5 separate regions of the Mus musculus genome follow, and regions 1, 2, 3 and 5 are each reported to be linked to region 4. The links are microRNA targets in miRTarBase. Many come from high-throughput screens and were not tested one by one. Region 4 holds a microRNA gene; each other region holds the end of a gene's coding sequence. Distances are from middle to middle.

Region 1 (3,000 bases), not on the chromosome of region 4:
TAAAAATACAAATCATAGCCTTACTAGAAAAAGAAACGTTGAAAGCCCAATACATTGCCCAACAATTGTGAAGGACCCGAAAATTATTATAATGGGAGAGGAATTGTCTTAAAGTCGGATTAGAAAAAGAAGTGGCTGTGCCAAATGGGCAGAATCCCATGGCCACATGAATGTTTAATAGACTTCCTCCAGATCCTGTGCCAGACAAAGTCACAAAAAGGGGCAAAATTTTGTTCCTTTTAACAACCCAGGATTTTCCTCAGCCACATCCTGTCTATTGCAATAATATTAATTTTCTTAAAGGTTATGGGGAATAGAAAAAGACAGAGACAGAGGGACACCAAGACAGAGACTTTATTCATCTGCCAGAACCCCAGGTTGATTTCCAGGACAGGCTAAAGAACTGAGAAGATGGGGGCTGCACTCTGCTCCTGGCTCACCAAGTCCTGCCCCCACAGTTGCCACACCCAGACTCCCACAGCTACTGAAATGTGGGCTGGGTCCCTTTCTTCCTTTGCCCCATAGGAGATGGGAAGGAGTGGCTGAAATAGTTTCCATCTGACCTTGGCTTTGTAAGATTCTCTTTACAGAATTATTTCAAGTCTGGAGAAAGGACTCCAGAGGAGCTATATGGAGCCAGACACCATGATTTCATCTAAGCTAAAAAGCAAAGCGCCCTGTGAGATGAGCCCTGGCCATTAACGTGATATTATAAATCCTCTTGTTCTTTTATCCTTTCCCAGGGAGTTGCCTCTTACAAAGTCCAAGCCGTGTTTTAATAGCGGCCACTCTCTGTGTTCCTGTCTTTTAAAAGAATCAGCACCAAAATAATTCCCACATAAATGATTAAAAACTGCATCACGTTTTAAAAGTCATTTAATATTAATAGCATATTTTAATGAAAAAAGCAGCATACTTTGCCAGTAAAACATTAAAATCATCTCTTCAATGAAAGACAATGAAACAACACTCAAAATAACTTAATACATTACTATAGTAAATAACCCATTAACAAAAACAAGAAACGAGGTCATATACAGAACTCAGAACTTTGGAGAGCCTCAAATGGATCAGCAATTACAGCAAATTCTGTAAGAATATATTCATATGTGCATCATTTTGAATGAAATATTTACAATAGATAAGGTACCAGTCACTTTGTACCTATTTGTGTGTGTGCTCCAAAAGGATTCTACCAAACACTGTGAATTTACAAGCAGTGCACTGTCTTTCTTATAGTTCCAAATTTTTCCCCCTACAAACAAACCTCCTAAAAGGAAAAAATGAAGGACCCCTATAAAGGTCAAAATGTAGCAACAAAGCAATCGAAAACTGGGAGATGGAAATACCTTGGTGAAATCTTAGAATCCAGCAGAGTAAGCACCAAGTGGAGACTGCACCTAAGGCTGGGAAAGTATACACTGCTCATCGTTGGTACCTCCAGCTGCTTCTTCTCTTCTGTTAGAGATGTGTATGTGTGTTTGTGTGTAGGCATGTAAGGTGAGTGAGAGAGCACGTGTGCCGCGGGGACAATATGGGAATCCCCATTAAATATGTAAGGAAGTAAACAAGACTTCGGACAGTGAATCTGGTCTACACGGTTAAGACATCAATTATAAAGTGTCAGCTCACAAATTAGATCACTACCAGTCAAAAACAAAGGGAAGAAACAATCTTCATTCAAAGTGAGAATATACAACTAGGCCAAAGCGAACACAGTCTAAGTGGGAAGCTGTAAAAATCCAGGACCAAAAAGAAAAAAAGAAAAATGTTTTGAGCATCACTAGCTATACGTATCCGCCGGTTTTATTTTTCAGACTAAAGAAGTTTAATTAATTAGGATGTGCACAAAATTAAGTTGCCAGAGAGATAAATTAATAATTTACAGAGGGTTGTACGGCAATAATCTAATAATAGCTGTCAAGATCAGTGAACACAGCAGGCGCAACTCCTTCCATAAGTGTTAACACTTCAGAGAAGGAAGAAAGCGATAAGAACCACAGTAAAAATATATATATAATATACAGTGTAAATGCAGAAAATCTGCCATCTTTTTTTAATTCAAAATACTTTAGAGATGTCTCTATCATATCACATTAAGCATCAACTCTAGCTTCGAGTTTCAGTCCTGAATCAATTTCTATTTCTGAAAAATAGCTGCAAAGTGTACTTTTAAACATGAACAAGGTGACGTCTGTAAGAACAAAAACAAATCTTACTTGCTCATTCTTGCAGGGTTTTCAAAAGCTTGTCCCTCTACCTTCCTGTTGACAGTCAGCTCCTCGCTTTCTCTGATGAAGCCGAGCAGCCCAGGTGCAGTTAAAGGGGACAGCTCTGCTACAACTTGACAAATTCCTTTTCGTGTTGTGTTGTTTGTGGTTTTGGTTTTTCTTCACTGCGAAACCGGTTCACAATCTCTCTGATTTGGGCTCAGCTGCTTGCTTCTTTGCTCCTGGCTTGGTCTGGGTTCACATTTACCGGAATTGTTTTCTGATAGCCAAAGTAGAAAGGAAAGAGGCAGAAGAGACAAGAAGGGGGTTAGAAAAAAAGAGGGCGAAGGGAAAGGGCCATCCCTGGAGAAGGGTCCCTAAATGCCGGCAGAGTATTTCATTCTCTTCTGTTTCTGCCTCTGGTTGCAGAACCAGACGCGCACCACATTTTTCTTGAGATCCAGCTTTTCGGCGATGGCCGCGATCTTCTCCGAGGAGGGCCTTGGCTGGATGGCGAAGTAGGCTTCCAGAGAGCGCTTCTCCGGCGCCGCGATGGACGTGCGCTTGCGCTTCTTCTCCGCGCCATTGAAGAGCTCCGGCTTAGTGAGCTTCTCGCGGTGGGATTTCTCAGCTTCCTCCAGCCACGCCTGCAGGATGGGCTTGAGCGCGATCATGTTGTTGTGTGACAGCGTGAGAGACTCAAACCTGCAGATGGTGCTCTGGCTGAGCGAGCCCACGCCCGGGATCTTGAGGTTGGCCAGCGCCGAGCCCACATCTGCCTGGGTCACTC
Region 2 (3,939 bases), not on the chromosome of region 4:
CCCTTGTTTTCCCCATCCTACTCTAGCCAAACTGGCCCATTTGGACAAAGTAACTCATACACTATTACCCCAGGTCCTTTCCACATGCACTTTCCATGCCCAGGATGGCCACACTTCCCATCTACACAGCTACATATCCTTATTCCTGTAATCCTAGCCCTTGAGAAAACTAAGGCAGGAGGATCCAACATTTGAGGCCATTCAGACCAGCCCTCATATATAGACATCTCAAAAATGACTCCTTACCTCCCCCACCCACCTCAGTCATGCTACACCTTAATTTTCTCCACACCACCCCTTCCAACCAGGTAATCCCACATCTTCCAACCAGTCTGACTCCAAGCCCCTGGCTGAACTGTGAGCTATGCTGTCACCCATCACTGCCTTCTGGCACCTCTGGATAACCCAGAGGACCTAGGGAGGGAGGGCTCCATATAATGAAAAGCTGTGTCCCAGTACTGACTCAACTCCACAAGAACCCTAGGTGTGTTGTCATAGAAGCCCCTGCTCACCATAAAAGAAAGCTTCAGGCCAGATGAGGCAGGCATCTCCCACAGCAGAACATACAAGAGCTCCCTGCAGGAGCCAGGTGCTGCTCCCACCAGGGGCCACAGCCCACAGGAACACAACCAGGCAGAGAATGGGCTGGCACTTGATCAGGGCACTGACCCAAGATGGCTGGTCCACAGGAATCCAGAGGAGGAAGTAAAGGGAGCAGGCAAGGATGAAGGGGGCCAGCCACCTGCGGACCTGTGGGTACTTCAAGAGAGCGAAGCTTCTCAGCCTCCCTCCCATTCGCAGCCAGTCCTGGGGGAGGGGTCACTGCAAGGCACTGTAGGAAATGTCTAATTCCAGTACTTAGCAGGTGGAAACGGGAGGCTGTTGATTTCAAAACCTGTCTAGGATACCCAGTGAGAACCTATTTTAACGGCCATCCCCCACACCACCCTCATGCCAGGACCCAAGCATGTCCAGGTTGGACTTTCGGGACTAGGATCTTTAGCCACCTTGAGAACCTTTTCATTCCTATCTCCTGCAAGGACAAAACCACGATACCTTAGAACCCAGCCTCCTGGAAGGACAGGGCATCCCCACCAACTCACCAAGCATAGAGAATCACAGGCCCCAGTACTGCCCATGTTCCCAGACCTGCCCATCCCCACCTTACAGGTTCTCACTTGGTCTGAAAAGAGTGTCTCCAGGGGCAGCCCCTCTTTTCTAGCATCCATGCTGAGTTGCTTCTCTTTAGGAGCCAGTGGCTTCAGAGGGCAGAGGGAAGTCTTGTGGTTACACATTAACCCAAGTGTCCTGTGGACTCTGGGGCTGATAACAGGGCTCACGCAAGGCCTGCTCTTGTCTGGCACTTGCTGATAAGGTACCCATCAGGCACCAAGGGCCACCCCCCAGCACTTAGAAACCTGGCCACCACCTCCAAAAGTGAGCCCCCTCCCCCAAAGTGGAACTCCCATTGTCTCACACCCAGCCAATTATAAGGAACAATGCAAAGTTCCACAGAGGGGTAGCCCTACAACCAACCCTGGAAAACAGGGGTCCTGCCACAAACACTGGTTAAATAAATCCTGCATTGTGCCTGAAGTCATTCAAACATTCCCTGGAAGGAAGGACGACCACACCACTGTACACTCATGTTCTGCAGCCTTCCCATGAACAAGATAGGGACCTACTGGATGCCAAGAAACTACTAGGTTCCTCAACCATCCCCCTTAGGGATGCTTCATTGTATGTCCATTCTCAAGGGAGCTTCCTGTCTCCTAATCTCTCCCACACCTTTGGTTTTTTGTTTTTGGTTTTTTAGATTTATTTATTTATTATATGTAAGTACACTGTCGCTGTCCTCAGACACTCCAGAAGAGGGAGTCAGATCTCGTTACGAATGGTTGTGAGCCACCATGTGGTTGCTGGGATTTGAACTCCTGACCTTTGGAAGAGCAGTCGGGTGCTCTTACCCACTGAGCCATCTCACCAGCCCCCACACCTTTGTTTTTGAGACAGGGTTTCTCTGCCCAGCCCTGGCTGTCCTGGAACTCAGTTTGTAGACATGGCTGGGCTTGAACTCACACAGATCCACCTGCCTCTGCCTCTGCCACCACCACATGCCTGGTGCCTCCTATCCCCGTAATGGCAGGACGCTCAGCTCCAAAGTCCAGGGACCTCTTGCTCCTTTTAGCAGGCCTGTTAGAGGATAGAGCTGAGTCAGCACAGCCCTAACTGATCTGCATTTTGGAACAGGGCCACGGAGGTACACATATCAGGATGAGAGCGCCCCAGAGTGCTAACTCCTGATGTTCTGCCTGATGTCTAAGTATTCCCCATCCCCTACACCCACACACACTCTCACAAGTGTGGTCCTAAGAGAATGTAGCTCTCTAGGCTATGAAGAGCAAGTTCACCCAACTCTGAGTCCCAGAACTCACAGTCCCACAGCAGGAATGTTCTGCTATCTTCCTTTATTTATATCTGCAGTATGAAACACAAGCTCTGCACACATACTTGCACACTCACACCAGCCTTGGGGGGGGCAGGGGGAGCTGGGACAAGGCCACTTGGCAGCAGTGCTGGAACCCTCAGGGCATGGGGTACCCAGCAACCCCCATTCTGGGCCTCTAGGGATGTTCCCCAGGGCCAGGGGCCGGATGACACCCTCTGTTACACCCCAAGGTGGTCCTGAGTGAAGCTGGGTAAGAGCATCTGCACCAGAGCACAGGCCAGCGGCCTCCAACCCCAGCGCCAGCCCCTACTGGGACAGACGGGGAAGGTGTGCTTCAGAGCTGCTGGCCCAGTTATTGTCCTGGCTTTCTTTCTTACTCCTCCCTCAACATATATATGTATATGTATATATATATATATATATATATATATATATATATATATATATATATATATATATATATATATAATATATAATATACTTCTCTCTCTCTCTCGCTCTCTCTCTCTCTTTCCTTTCTATGTGACTCTCTATCTTTATTCTTGGAGACAAAACTCCATAGTTTCTCTTCTCAGTGCAAATGGGGGTGGGTGAGGGCATCTCCCTGGCACCAGCCTCCTTGGGAGTCCAGAGGAGAGAATGTAGGGTGTGGGACAATAGAGTAGAGGGCCACCAAAGGACTCATCCTGCCCCACAGAGGGATTCCACAGGGAGGACAGAGGATTTGGCCACCACTGTCACCAGGCAGCTACCTGGAAACAGAGAGAAACACATGTGTCACATGGACCATGGACATGGGTCCAGTGACCTCATCTTGCTGACCCACCCAAGGCTATTGCCACACTCACTGGGAACCCGATGAAATAGGCCCTCCTGGGGTAGAGCCATTGGGCATCTCAAGGGCACTGTTAGGGGAGAAAAGGAAACATGGAGGTTACTTCTTGCCCTATTAGCCCTGCTTCATCCACCCAACACCACCCAGAGAGACTAACTCACCTCTGGCTTTGGGGAAGCCCCAAATGTTCTGGGCTCCTTTTCCCCTCCATGGTCTGAGGAGACTGGTGGGCCTTGAAGTCTGGGACAGAGGTAGAGGGGTCTCTGGTTGCACTGTAAGAGAGATCAATTTGAATACTGTTAGATATTCCATATCACTGCCTGCCTGAGGCCACGGCTGGGTAACAAAGAAATCTCAGAACAAAAAAGCCTATGAGCATACTGATGGCAGAGCATAGTGGGGCTGCAGAGCCACAGGGGGAAACCAGAACTTATACCCAGCTCCTCTCAGTGGTCATCCCCCTGCAGGATACGCTTCTGGGGCTATGCACAGTCCTGCTTCTCGTGGTCCCTGATCCTCTTGGAAGCTGTTCTTAACTCTGGGATCACAAGAGCCCTTTTAGGTGCCATTGTCCAAAACATTTAATTACAAAAAGGAATGGATACAAGGACACAGGAGCTCAAGGTAGAGCTTAGTGCTAAGGACAGTAGGGACA
Region 3 (3,939 bases), not on the chromosome of region 4:
TGGATGACCACAAGTGTTCATTTTCTTCTATAAATGTCTTTGCTCTTGGATTGACTTGCGATCTTTCTCCTTCCTAATTTATAACAACCCCTATTAAAGGATACATTGGTAACCAACTAGGAGATCAATCAGAACACAAAAATATTTAGTAAACACATTAACTGCTTATATTGTCATATACTAAGTATCAGAATGCTTTATTTTATGTTGTATCTTTTAAATAACAAACACTTTCCTAGGAACATTCTTTCAAACTCACACTCTTGGAAGTGTGCAGAAGCAACTAGACACCAAGGAAGAGAGGCATGTCCTCCAGTGCTGAAGAACTTATTTCTTTCTTTATTTGTTTATTTATTAGTTTGCCCACATACAGAGCATTTTCACAAAGTCACATGAAAGCATTTACAAGTCCTGGGGCCAATAAGCTGGCTTAGTAGGTAAAGGTACCTGCTGCCAAGCCTGATGCCCTGAGTTCAATCCCTGGGACCTACCATAGAGATGGCAGGAAAGAAGTGACTCGAAGAGTTGTCTTCTGACTTACACACACATGTACAAGATATTAGCATACATACACACACACTCACAACCCTAACAATGAATAAATAATGCAGAATAATTGAAAGTGTTTCTATGTGTAAAATGTAACAGATGCATCATAACCAATCTTATAACTCAACATACTCACAATAAACTATATGATAGGAAGAAGACTAAAATCTCTGAGAAATTTGGGTTAGAAAATAGTTCACTTAAAACAAGTGAAGGAGTATAGTACTCAGGGCAGTCCTCTTCCAGAATTCTGTTGGAAAGAGAACTGGGGGCTGGAGAGATGGCTCACTGGTGAAGAGCATTGGCTGTTCTTCCAGAGGTCCTGAGTTCAATTCCCAGCAACCACATGAGGGCTCACAACCATCTGTAATGGGATCTGATGCACTCTTCTGGTGTAACTTATATACATATAATAAATAAATCTTTAAAAAAGAAAGAAAAGAAGGAAAGAGAGAAAGAGAGAGAGAGAGAGAGAGAGAGAGAGAGAGAGAGAATGAGCTGATGACACCTTGCTATGCTCTCCCCAGTGCAGAGAACTGCATTCAGAATAGACATCCTCAATGAGAAGTACCTTTCTTTTTTGCAAAAGCTACATCACAGTCAAGAAGCACTGAGGCACAGCCAGGAGCCATTTCCCAGAGTAAGAAGGGCCATCCCCCTCTACAGCCCTACATCACAGTGGGGTAGTTCCTTTTGGTGGTGGTGGTGGTGGTGGATTTTTTTCTTTCTTTTTTTTTTTTCTTTGAGACAGGGTTTCTCTGTGTAGCCTTGGCTGTCCTGGAACTCACTCTGTAGACCAAGCTGACCTCGAACTCAGAAATCCACCTGCATCTGCCTCCCAAGTGCTGTGATTAAAGGTGTGTGCCACCACTGCCCAGCTGAATAGTTCTTTTTTAAGCCTAGTGTTACAGATAAAATATATCAGTCCACACCAACATCTGGTCATCCTGTCCCATTCCACTTGATTTACACTATGCCAACAATACAGCAAACATGGAAGAAACACTGTCCACTATTCACCCCATTTCTATGCACCTCTCGAGTCTGGAAGACACTAGATTGAGCACTCCTGCTATGGAAACCTGACATGTTCTAGATCCAGAGCACACCATGCACAAAGAAGCACAATGCTCAAAAGAATCAAATGATTTCAGGACATTTGGTATTCAGATGTCTTTTTATTACGTCTGCTCAACTGGTAAACAAATACTAATACTACTACTACAAATACTAATACAAATACTAAACAAATACTAATGGGAAAAAAAAAGACAAAATTTGAATGAGTCCTAATCCCAAGCATTTCAGAAAAAGGATATTCAGCCTGTATTGGTTCAAGCATGAAAGAGTACTTTTTTGATTTATTGTAAACATAATGACAAGGGCAGAGGAGGACTGCAAAAGTATTGAGGCGTGTACAAAGAGTGTTATTCTGCTGAGTTAATTTCCACCTCATTCAGATCAGCATTTAAATATCTGTCCCCTGTCAGATATGAGTCTCTAGGCCACTAGTAAACTGGTTTTATCTAGTGGAAATGACAAAAAGTGAGGGAGACACTGAAGAGAAAAAAAAAAAAAAAGCCCCTTCTGCCACCAGTGTGAGGTCTTCTACTGGGTTAAAATGCCAAAGGACTATTCTTGCCCATACTTTCTCCAGCTAATTCATAGCTGCTCTCTCCTGTCTCCACCTCCTTCCATACAGCTGCAGTGTGGTCAATGGCTCCCAGTGCTGATGGTGGTGATTGCTACAGCACTGGCAGTGTTCCTGGCAAACAAAGGCAACCTGGTCATCTGAAGAACTTCTGGCATCTATCTGAAGTAAAACTCAGATGCAAACAACTCCATGAAAACCTTGAGTTCTGGTACTTTATAACTTGGGTTTCCCTCCAAATGAATCCGGACTCTTAGTTTTATTTTTTTTTCACCAGGTTGTAAATAAACTTTATCTCACAAGACTACTCTTTAGAACTGTGTATTCCTGAGAAATAAGCCACAAGTGTAACCCTTAAGCATCATTGTCTCGCACCCTACTTCAGTTAGAGTTCCATACATAGATTACCTAGTCATTCTCCTTCCCTCTAAGGCACTATCCACCAGGGAAGGCCACCATCCCAGGGTACACTCATGTCTCCACAATGCTCCTTTTCCATCTCTCATTCAATGAAAAATAAACAGACACCTCGGCTAAGGACCTAGGAACTCCTAATATAAAGACTGAAATCATACTACTGCTGCCAACGACTCTCCCCATTCACACGTGTTCAATTGACTGCACAACATTCATCGTAATTGACATTCATTGATACCTTCTCAACGGACAGAGTTAACTCAGAGGGCCACAGCAGGAAGTGTGACCACCTCAGAGGAGATGCTGAGGTCAGCAAAGGCATTCTGAGCCCTAAATCGGGTTCTGAGTTCCTTCTCCCAGGCACTTAGAAAGTTTTTCAGGGCTGGGAACAAACTCTCTGGAACACTAAAGGAGTACAGCAGAATTGATGGTTGACCAGGCAGCCACGAAATCCGGGCAGTAAACACCCGCAGGGGAGTCATGGTTAAGCAGTTGTCATCTTCACGGTTCAGGTCAAATGTGTAAGAGACTGGATATCCCAGGAGTATCCCAAATACAGTGCAGAGATTCCAGTCTGAGGAATGTAGCCTGGTGTAGGAGACTCCCTGAGACACATCTTTCTTAAGTCCTCGAAAACGTGTGATGACGTCAGCTATGAGAGATTTCAAGTCCGGGAGCTGGTCCACCGACCGGACAGAAGGATGAGGTTGGGAGCGGGAAACGTCCACGAAAGCTACAGTACCAAGCAGTGTCTGTTCCAAATGCTGACAGGCATACTCAGGACTGACAATAAAGTTATTCTCTCCAATCTCAAGAATGTGAAGTCCTGGCTCCAGGAAGCCCAGCCCCTGTAGTTCCTCCAGATAACTTTGGAGCGCCAATACTCCTGCAGAGTTGCAATCATAGAGTACAGCTGGCTTCAGCCCGCGGGCCACAGCCAGCACCTCTCCTGCCAGGTGAAGGCAGGTAGCTCGAGGTGGGCATTTTCTCTTGCCCATGCCCAGAGTCTGCTGAGCAGCTGCCACCAGCAGCTGAGGGCTTGGTGTTGACATAAGATCTGGAAGTTACATGACATATGGCCTCCTTAGCTAGCCACAGTTCCTTTCCCTGGGCCACACACAGTTCAGCTCCCAGCACTTGAGAAAGATCCTAGAAACAATATGGTAGGGGGAAATCGTTAATACTGTCAAGATGGGGTCACCAATGCTGCACCCCATTTCTCTGGCAGACTTAAGTTTACGAAATCGTCCTTCTAGTCACATTTACATTGTCTCTGGCTTCGATTCTAACTTTTACCTGGTGCAATTTATGCTCTGGGATTC
Region 4 (3,939 bases):
GCTGTGGTTACCTCGGACAGTATTTTCCATTTTTCTCCCTTGTCTAAGCCCCAGGGGCAAATATAAAGCAGGCCAGATTTCTAAAGGACCAGTCATGAAAACAATGATTATTAAATCAGCGTTGAAGTTCAGACACCAGGGTCCTTTCCTCAGGAGCTGGGTCAGTAAAAAGTCGTTTGAGGACGAACTGTGCAGTCCAGCCAGGCTCTGTCAGTTCCCTAGACTCTCTTGTGTGGTTTACCTTCTAAAAACTCAATTCCATCTCTCTATCATCCCAAACAGCGAATGGAAATTCTACATGAGTTGGATGTTTCGTGATACTAGAATGGTTTCTATCTGTGGTGGTGTAACATGCTAATCTTCATCCCTCTATAGTTTATCTTAAAAGATGAATTAGAGAACAGTGCAACTTTCTAATGAACATGTGCCCATGTCTATAATCCTAACAATTGTGAGGCAGCAGCAGGATTGCTACAAGATTGGGGTCTCCTTGATCTTTGTAGGTAGTTACTAGACAGCCAGGACTACCTAGCAAGAAACAAAGAAGGAAAACCACAAATCTCGTGCTTCTTAGAGTCCATGCCAAACCTCAAATCCTTTCACGACCACTCCAAGTTGTCTTCTTCATATGTCTGCCTGCTCCAGTGAAGAGATGGATCCTTTCATAGAAAGCTATTCTAGCAGGGTGTACATTCTGCCCTCTGTGGTGCTTTGAAGGAACACCGTGGCCCTACCTCATGTATTTGAACACTCATATCCCAGGTGGTGGCTACATTTGGGAATGTAATGGGACCTTTCAGAAGGAGAACCTTGCTTGAGGTGTGTCACTAGGGGCAAGACTGGGGTTTTCTACCCTGGTTCCACTTCCTGTTCTCACTTAGCTTACCACACTGAGGCCATGCCTGCTCTGTTACTATATCCTTCTGGAGCTATGAGCAGCAATAAAATTATAAATGGAGGTATGGGGAAAGCGGGTAAAGGAAAATGAATACCAACCATAACAGCACACCCCAGATTTTAAAGACGAAGCTCCTACTCAGTGATCACTGTAGTCCAACCTAGGGAGTAATCGGTAGCGATTATAGTAACAACAACAGAGATGCAACAATGACAAGCAGGCATTTCCAAAACACAGGCATAAATACAGTATTTCATAGAAAATATCACATTTATGGTACATGAGCTATTATCCCTTCCTTCCACACCCTCAGGATAGAAAAGAACCAGATATGGAATCCTTTTTATAAAACACAGTCGAGGCACAATTATCAATCAATTGGAATTGGTTTGAAAGGTAAAATATATCCACTATGATTATACTACACAGAACACAGGAATGAGCTGCAGAAATAAGGACGCTGCGGAGAGCTTGAACGTTGAAGGCCACTGGCAGGAACAAGCTGAGCCCATGGAGATCACAGAGCAGGCGCCCAATTAATGTCTGTTGATGATTCATTTTTTCATTCAACAAACATTTAATGAGGCCTACAATGTGCACCGGATTAGGCACTGTGAGTACAAAGTCACCATCCTTGCCCTTACGGATTAGTTTGATAGACGAGAGCCATAACCTCGGACAATGATAATACAACCTGCTAAGTGCTAGAACACTTAGCAGGTTGTATTATATCCACCCGAGTAGGATTTCTTCAGAGGAACACCACTCCAGGTTGCTGCGCGATCCATGAAGTTCTCCTGATCACCAAGGCCAGCTGTTGTTTCTTGCTCTCCAGGGATGACAGTCACAAGAACTAACATAGCTAGTTATCAGTTAGAATTCGGCTTCAGGTCAACTGTGACCATTCCCCAAACATCCTTTTCTGTGTTTATACAAAAACCTTTATTCAGCTATAACACAAGTTTTCAAAAGCTTTTAACTTAGAACAAAGAAGAAAGGCAATAGATTACTAATCAAGAGCATGAATGGAAGAATCATCGAGTTTCCTACATGGGCTAACTTCACATTAGTGAATCATTAAAAACGTCCATGATCCCTCCCCACAACACCATTGACCATTCAAAAGGTATAATAATAATTAACTTTCTTCTTTTAATTCTTGCATTGCCCGCTCCATCATTAACAGCAACAATAACTAAGATAGCATTGAGTGGACGCAATTAACAAACAGGCCAGCTAATGCCTATGCCCAAACCCTAGAGTCACTGTTTGCATGCACACTTCAGAGCTTCCTTTCCCAAATCTGAACCATTTACTTAAGTAAAATTGTCCTCATTATAAATGCATTATTTGAATAGTAAAGATCAATACGATAGGTCTGAGTAGAAAACATGTTCATAGATTTTGTTGTTTGTTTCAGTCAGGGACTTGTTATGAAACCCAGACTGGACTCAAAGTCAAGATGGTCTTCCTGTATAAGGACCCGAAATGCTGGGATTCTAGGCATGTGCCAACATGCCTTGCTTTATAATGCTTTGAGATCAGAAACCCTAGAGTGGATATTACACATATCTGATGCTTCAAAGTAAAGCAATGAACATTTCAAGTCTCTAAACACTTCAAAAGAAAAATAAAGTTCAGGAGAAAGCCTGCCAGTGACAAGAGACTATTCAGATGAGAATGATGGGGCACCGCTGCTATCTCCGTGTCTTACTGAGGATTGGCAGTTCCTAGATACGGCTCTTCTATGGAGAAGAAACTAAATGTATATCTAAGGAATGAGAGGATGGCAGCTATCCATGACAAAAAATTCCTTCCCTGTAAAACTCTCCTCCATATATCCTACCCCAAACCTCTTAGCGAGTAACTAGTCAGCCTGTAAGGTTTAATCTATATACCTGAATATCTCTCATCTTTGGGACTAATTCAATATCCTGACTACTGAGAGAACTGAATAATAATAATAATAAATGATTTGAACTGTGGACAAACATTTAGATCAACATGAAAAAGTGATCTGAGAGGGAAACAGACTCTTAAAAAACCCCTTGTAGCCCCGACAAAAGTTACTCATGAGTTAAAAGACATTTGTTGGCAGCATTATCAATAAATAATCTTAGCCTGGGGTTTAAGATTATAGGGTAATAAGCACCTTGAAATTGAAGACCCTTAAGGTGTATCTATATTCATAGTTAGAAGTTTAAAATGGACAGACAATCTGGTATAAATCGTCATGTCTCTGAGCCAAGTAGGAAGATGAACAGCAGCTCCAGTGTCTTGAGCCCAATTCTCATCCATACTCAACTAAACACAACCTTGCAGTATAACCCATTTTCTGGCAGTCCCTTAGACAAGGAGCAGAAAATACCTTTAAACGAATTCAAGGCCAATAAGGATGTCTGGATACAAATTTCTCCAACAATATGTTACTGAAAACTTAAGCCTTCAGAACCACTGATTAAAGTTTGCATAAAAGCTACATTACCTAACATAGTAAGAGACTATCAATCTTTCTTTCATTCCTTGTTTACCCTGTTGAGACAGGGTTGCTCGATGTAGCCCTGGCTGTTCAGGAACTGGCTTTGTAGACAAGGCTGGCCTTGGATCATTTCAAGGTAGACAAAGGGAATGTATCCTTGATGTGATTTTCCCATTTACAGATTATGTTTATAAAATACTGTTTGTAATTTTCATTGTCAGCTATTCCAAAAACAAAATGTAGAAGTGAATAATATTGCCTGTTTTTTTTGTGCTAGAGATTAAGCCCTTTGTAACACACATGTTGGGGACATGCTCTACCATGAGCAGGCAACAGGAACATCCTCCAAAATGCTCTATCCCACATACCCAGAGTTCCTGCGCTTGTTTTCTACATATATATTAGATATGCAAGGGTAGACTATAGTCTTCCTGGTGCACAGAATTTTTATGATTGTGCTTAGGTGTTAGATAATTGCCTTTAAAACCTCACTGGAATGCATCAGAAGGCTGTTGTGGTGATCATTAAATGGGAACATATCAAGTGGAGAAACAAAGTTTTA
Region 5 (3,939 bases), 64 Mb from region 4:
GGTCTCTTGTCTCTATCGACCACAGATAACCCAAGCCATGTCGGAACCAGGTAACTCATCCCTGGTTGTTGGACTGCAGAAGCAAGGGGAAGAACTGTCCAGAGGGACAGCTCTGAAGGTCTGGACAGAAGACCCAGATGGCCCAGATGACTTGGACTTCAGCAGTCTGGCTTTTGATGCCCGGATTGCAAGAATAAATGCCCTAAAGGCAAACACATATGGAATGCCCGATGGGTTTCTCGAAGCCCAAAATGATGCCAATGAGCTGCTCTGCCTTGTGAGGGCAACCAAGGCAAGGAAGGAGGAGTCACGCCCTGAAACATATGACCTTACACTTTCTCAGTACAAGCAACTGTTATCCATTGAGTCCAGACAGTTGGGAAGTGCCTGTAGGAAAATGGCAATGGCCGAGAAAAGCCCAGAAGAGATGCTCCTAGCTATGAGTTCCAGTTTTCAAGTGCTCTGTTGCCTAACAGAAGCTTGCATGCGGTTAGTGAAAGTCGTGAACACTGAAACACAGCGGCAAGAAATTGTAGCAAAGATTGATGAAGTGGTCATAAACTATATTTGTCTCCTGAAAGCTGCTGAGGCAGCCACTGGCAAGACCACTGGGGATCCTAATATTGGACTATCGATGCGACATTCAACCACCATGGCCGCTCTTGTAAGCACACTAACACGTTCTCTCAAGATGCTTTTAAATAAATAAATATGGAAGTCACATCATAATCTATCTTTGCAAAGCCATACATGAACTTTTCTTTACTTTCTGTGTACAATGAACAGATGTCTCCTTTCTTCTCTCTGTATATTTTGTTCTTTTATATAAAATAGGAGATAGAAGTTACATTGATGAAATGTTGAAAAGTCTCAATCAGATATATTCTGTTTATATTATACAAATATACATGTAGAAGGAATATATGAGAAAATGATGACATTTGACTATTTTTCATGTAGTCAAAACTCTAAGCATATGATATGAAATTTTAAATTCTACATTGTTAGAGGAAAACAATGAATCCTATCCCCTTTCCTTCCAAATGGATACTTGGAGACCCTATCATTCATATTTAGAAGAAAAGCCAAAAGAAACAGAATAGAAAAGAAATCAAAATGTATATAAAATAGTTCCCGTGTTTTAAAATCATAATTTTTAAACATTGGAAGTAGCAAAAATATATTTAAAATTCAAGAAGCTAATATGAATTACTAGAAAATATATAATAAATTAACTTTTTGCTCATAGTGTTTTGTTATTGGATGCTTTCTTCCAAGAATCCCCACATATTCAATTTTGGTTTATGCTATTTGGGCTACAGATTGGCAGGGGTGGGCAGATTCCATTGTGTCAGCATAAATGCTTTTTATAGTATTTCTAGACTTAAAAAGTTCCCCCAAATAAAAGAACAGGGGAAATTATGGGCAGGATCCTAGGCAATAACTAAAGGTATAGGTTGTCTAATTACATAAAATAAATGGAATTAGTAATGCCAAAATTAAATTGTTTGATGAAAAGAGAGATCTGCTTTGACTCAATGTCAAAATACATAAACCGAAGGCATTATTTCCTTCCAACTCAACCATGAAGCTTACTATTTCCTTTCAAGAACACCTAGTAAAGTGTTTGTAGAATTACACAAAAGCAGATTTAATGAGCACAAAAAGTGCAGACCCAGCAATGTAAATCAGAGCGCACCCCAGCACCTGGGAAGCACAGCTCAGCCTTCAACTCTTAGTCCTCAGCTCCATGAAGGGCTTCCTGTTGCCCCTCTCTGACAGGAGCATGGCTAGCAACAAAACGTGGAAAGACAGCCTACTACTGGGACAAAATTTCAAATCTAGAGTGTTCCAGAAAATCAAGTAGAGATGACTACTCTCATAATTGAAACCATGATTCAAAAGGTAGTATTTACCTAATGAGTACTTCATTTGGCAGATAGAAATACAAAATCTGACAGAAACATGGCAAATTTGACTATTTTAAGTGAAACTAAGGGAATACAAAGGTGTGTTCTGAACTGTCATCACTCAAATTATATCTTTGGGTCAAAACAAAAGAAGGCAAACTCTTCAATCATAAGTTAAATTGATATGTACATATGTAGTTTCTGGATCACTCTGTAGTCAAGCTCCCCAATTCCTATTTCTGTAAATGGCTTAGAATAAGAGTAGTATAGCAAGAATCAATATTTCCCATTTTGTAGCCTGCCATGCAGGAGACCTAGCAAGGTCTACAGTTGCTATTTCTCTCTGGTCAGCCATTCATTCCACAGAGACTCAGCAAATGCAACACCACAGATTTACAGATTGTAACCAATGAAAGGAGTTCAGATATACGTTGTTATAAATAATGTTTGATTAAATAATAAAACATTATTTCATTACAATTCTAAATATTTGGTGTTTTGCTGTTGAGAGACATTAGTGGTGTTTACTGTGGAAAATCTTAGCAAATATTCTGTGTACTATAATACAAACAATAATAGGATGTGTGCTCTGTGTCAGACAATGTGCTAAACATTATTATCACATGTATTATCTCATTTAATCATGTCTATGATCTCTTGGTTTGGACACTATCATTAGTTCCTTCTGGAGGCATTATGGTTTACTAGTTATGAAATGTGGGGCTTGGGATCAGAAACATCTTGATTTAAATTTTGGTCCTGCCATTCCCTAGCCCTTTCATCTTGGGAAAGCTATCTTTTCTTTTTCAGTCTTGATTTCCTTATTGTGAAATGGACTTCAATCATGAGATCTATTTCCATAGGGTTTTCACAAGTTTTAAGTAAAATTGTGTATTGTAAAGTTCTTACCACAATATCTGATGGAGAATAAGTATTCAATGTTAGATATTATAATTATCATAATTGTTGTGTTAAACATATTGCCCAAGATACTGTGTGGAGGATGTTTGTTTTCGATGCATACTGTATCCTGATTGTGTGCAGAACACATTTGTGTGTAGTGCATACTCTGAAAAGAAGCATACAGGGAAATGATGGTCTGTTTTCAAATTGCAAATCTAGCTAGAACAACTTCCTACTCCATTGTGGTTCTTTGAGAAGCCTCAGGGAAATAGCTCTGGGTCTTTCTAGCCAATCTCTAATTTCCTGTGACTACTCCAGTAAGTTTCTGTTCTCCTAAAGCAAGTCTTTACTATTCAAAAATCTCAAAAGGCCCCCTCACCTTCATTAAGCATGGGGCTCCTAACTGGAGTTCATGTCCATTAGAGTATAGGAAGAACATACTAGAATGATACTTGTGTTTATTTTTATCTAGTTTTTTTATGTTTGTGTATGTTTTATAATGGCATAATAGTACAGTGGTACATGTACATAATTTTAAATAAATAAATAAACAAATAAACAAGCATAAGCCTGGTGCATGTATGCAAATACCGTCACAGGTAGCGTTGCATTCACTAAATTTTGAAGAACATGGAACTGGCACTGAAATTTGTTTACACTTGGAGTATGTAAACTCCTATTTTCCTAAGTGTCTCTCTCCCCACTCTCATGTAGCTGTCATTATAAAAGGTACAAATGTGTACAAAAATTCATGCAGTTGTAAAAGGTGTCAACTGGTGACTCCTTGGATATCAACTCCTAATCAGTATTACTTGCTCCATTTCTACACACCTCCTCCCAACCTGTAAGATTTAGAAACTCCCTGGTACCCTGTCCCTTAATCTATGAGTATCTCATTAGGAATAAGAACTTTAAAAAATAACCACAATGCCACTTCACATATAAAAATGAGCAATTCTTCCATATCATTAAACAAACATTACAGAAATAAATGGTAATGAAAATGAAAGTCCTTTACAAGTGGAGCCTCCATAGACTTTGTCCATAATCACTGCCATCTTTCCCCCATCCGTTTCTCTTTATTTATCGCTATTTTCATTCATTTCATTCTTCTGAGTTTAACTTT

What was found. Region 4 holds the annotated microRNA mmu-miR-374b-5p (AUAUAAUACAACCUGCUAAGUG, at 1,609-1,630, opposite strand). A microRNA usually pairs through its seed, bases 2 to 8, with sites in the 3' UTR of a target mRNA and lowers its output. Matches are read on the target gene's strand: a 7mer-m8 pairs with bases 2 to 8, a 7mer-A1 pairs with bases 2 to 7 and ends in A, and an 8mer does both.
Region 1: the mRNA of Pou4f2 is a reported target of mmu-miR-374b-5p. Seed matches in the 3' UTR shown: 7mer-m8 at 2,016-2,022.
Region 2: the mRNA of Ppp6r1 is a reported target of mmu-miR-374b-5p. Seed matches in the 3' UTR shown: 7mer-m8 at 2,921-2,927 and 7mer-m8 at 2,914-2,920.
Region 3: miRTarBase lists A130010J15Rik as a target of mmu-miR-374b-5p. Seed matches in the 3' UTR shown: 7mer-m8 at 958-964.
Region 5: the mRNA of Frmpd4 is a reported target of mmu-miR-374b-5p. Seed matches in the 3' UTR shown: 7mer-m8 at 893-899 and 8mer at 2,857-2,864.

Annotation. Positions count from the first base shown.
Region 1 is chr8:78,432,150-78,435,149 of GRCm38, forward strand. Pou4f2 (POU domain, class 4, transcription factor 2) reads right to left here. Exons shown (of 2, transcript NM_138944.3): 2 at 860-3,000. The coding sequence ends at 2,588. Among named protein-coding and RNA genes, the nearest start is that of Pou4f2, 3.0 kb to the right of the region's middle.
Region 2 is chr7:4,629,044-4,632,982 of GRCm38, forward strand. Ppp6r1 (protein phosphatase 6, regulatory subunit 1) reads right to left here. Exons shown (of 24, transcript NM_172894.2): 22 at 3,446-3,556; 23 at 3,298-3,354; 24 at 2,452-3,201. The coding sequence ends at 3,198. Tmem86b (transmembrane protein 86B) reads right to left here and starts at 1,439. Exons shown (of 3, transcript NM_023440.3): 1 at 1,179-1,439; 2 at 513-759. The coding sequence starts at 1,229.
Region 3 is chr1:193,174,072-193,178,010 of GRCm38, reverse strand. It overlaps A130010J15Rik (RIKEN cDNA A130010J15 gene), which reads right to left. Exons shown (of 2, transcript NM_181048.3): 2 at 179-3,766. The coding sequence starts at 3,669. The coding sequence ends at 2,878. Traf3ip3 (TRAF3 interacting protein 3) reads left to right here. Exons shown (of 16, transcript NM_153137.4): 16 at 2,252-2,507. The coding sequence ends at 2,344. Among named protein-coding and RNA genes, the nearest start is that of A130010J15Rik, 2.5 kb to the right of the region's middle.
Region 4 is chrX:103,571,504-103,575,442 of GRCm38, forward strand. It overlaps Mir374b (microRNA 374b), which reads right to left and starts at 1,651; the gene lies at 1,557-1,651. All of the region lies in intron 9 of Ftx (Ftx transcript, Xist regulator (non-protein coding)), which reads right to left. Mir421 (microRNA 421) reads right to left here and starts at 1,493; the gene lies at 1,418-1,493. Mir374c (microRNA 374c) reads left to right here and starts at 1,582; the gene lies at 1,582-1,630.
Region 5 is chrX:167,470,743-167,474,681 of GRCm38, reverse strand. Frmpd4 (FERM and PDZ domain containing 4) reads left to right here. Exons shown (of 17, transcript NM_001368936.1): 17 at 1-3,375. The coding sequence ends at 709. Among named protein-coding and RNA genes, the nearest start is that of Prps2, 90 kb to the right of the region's middle.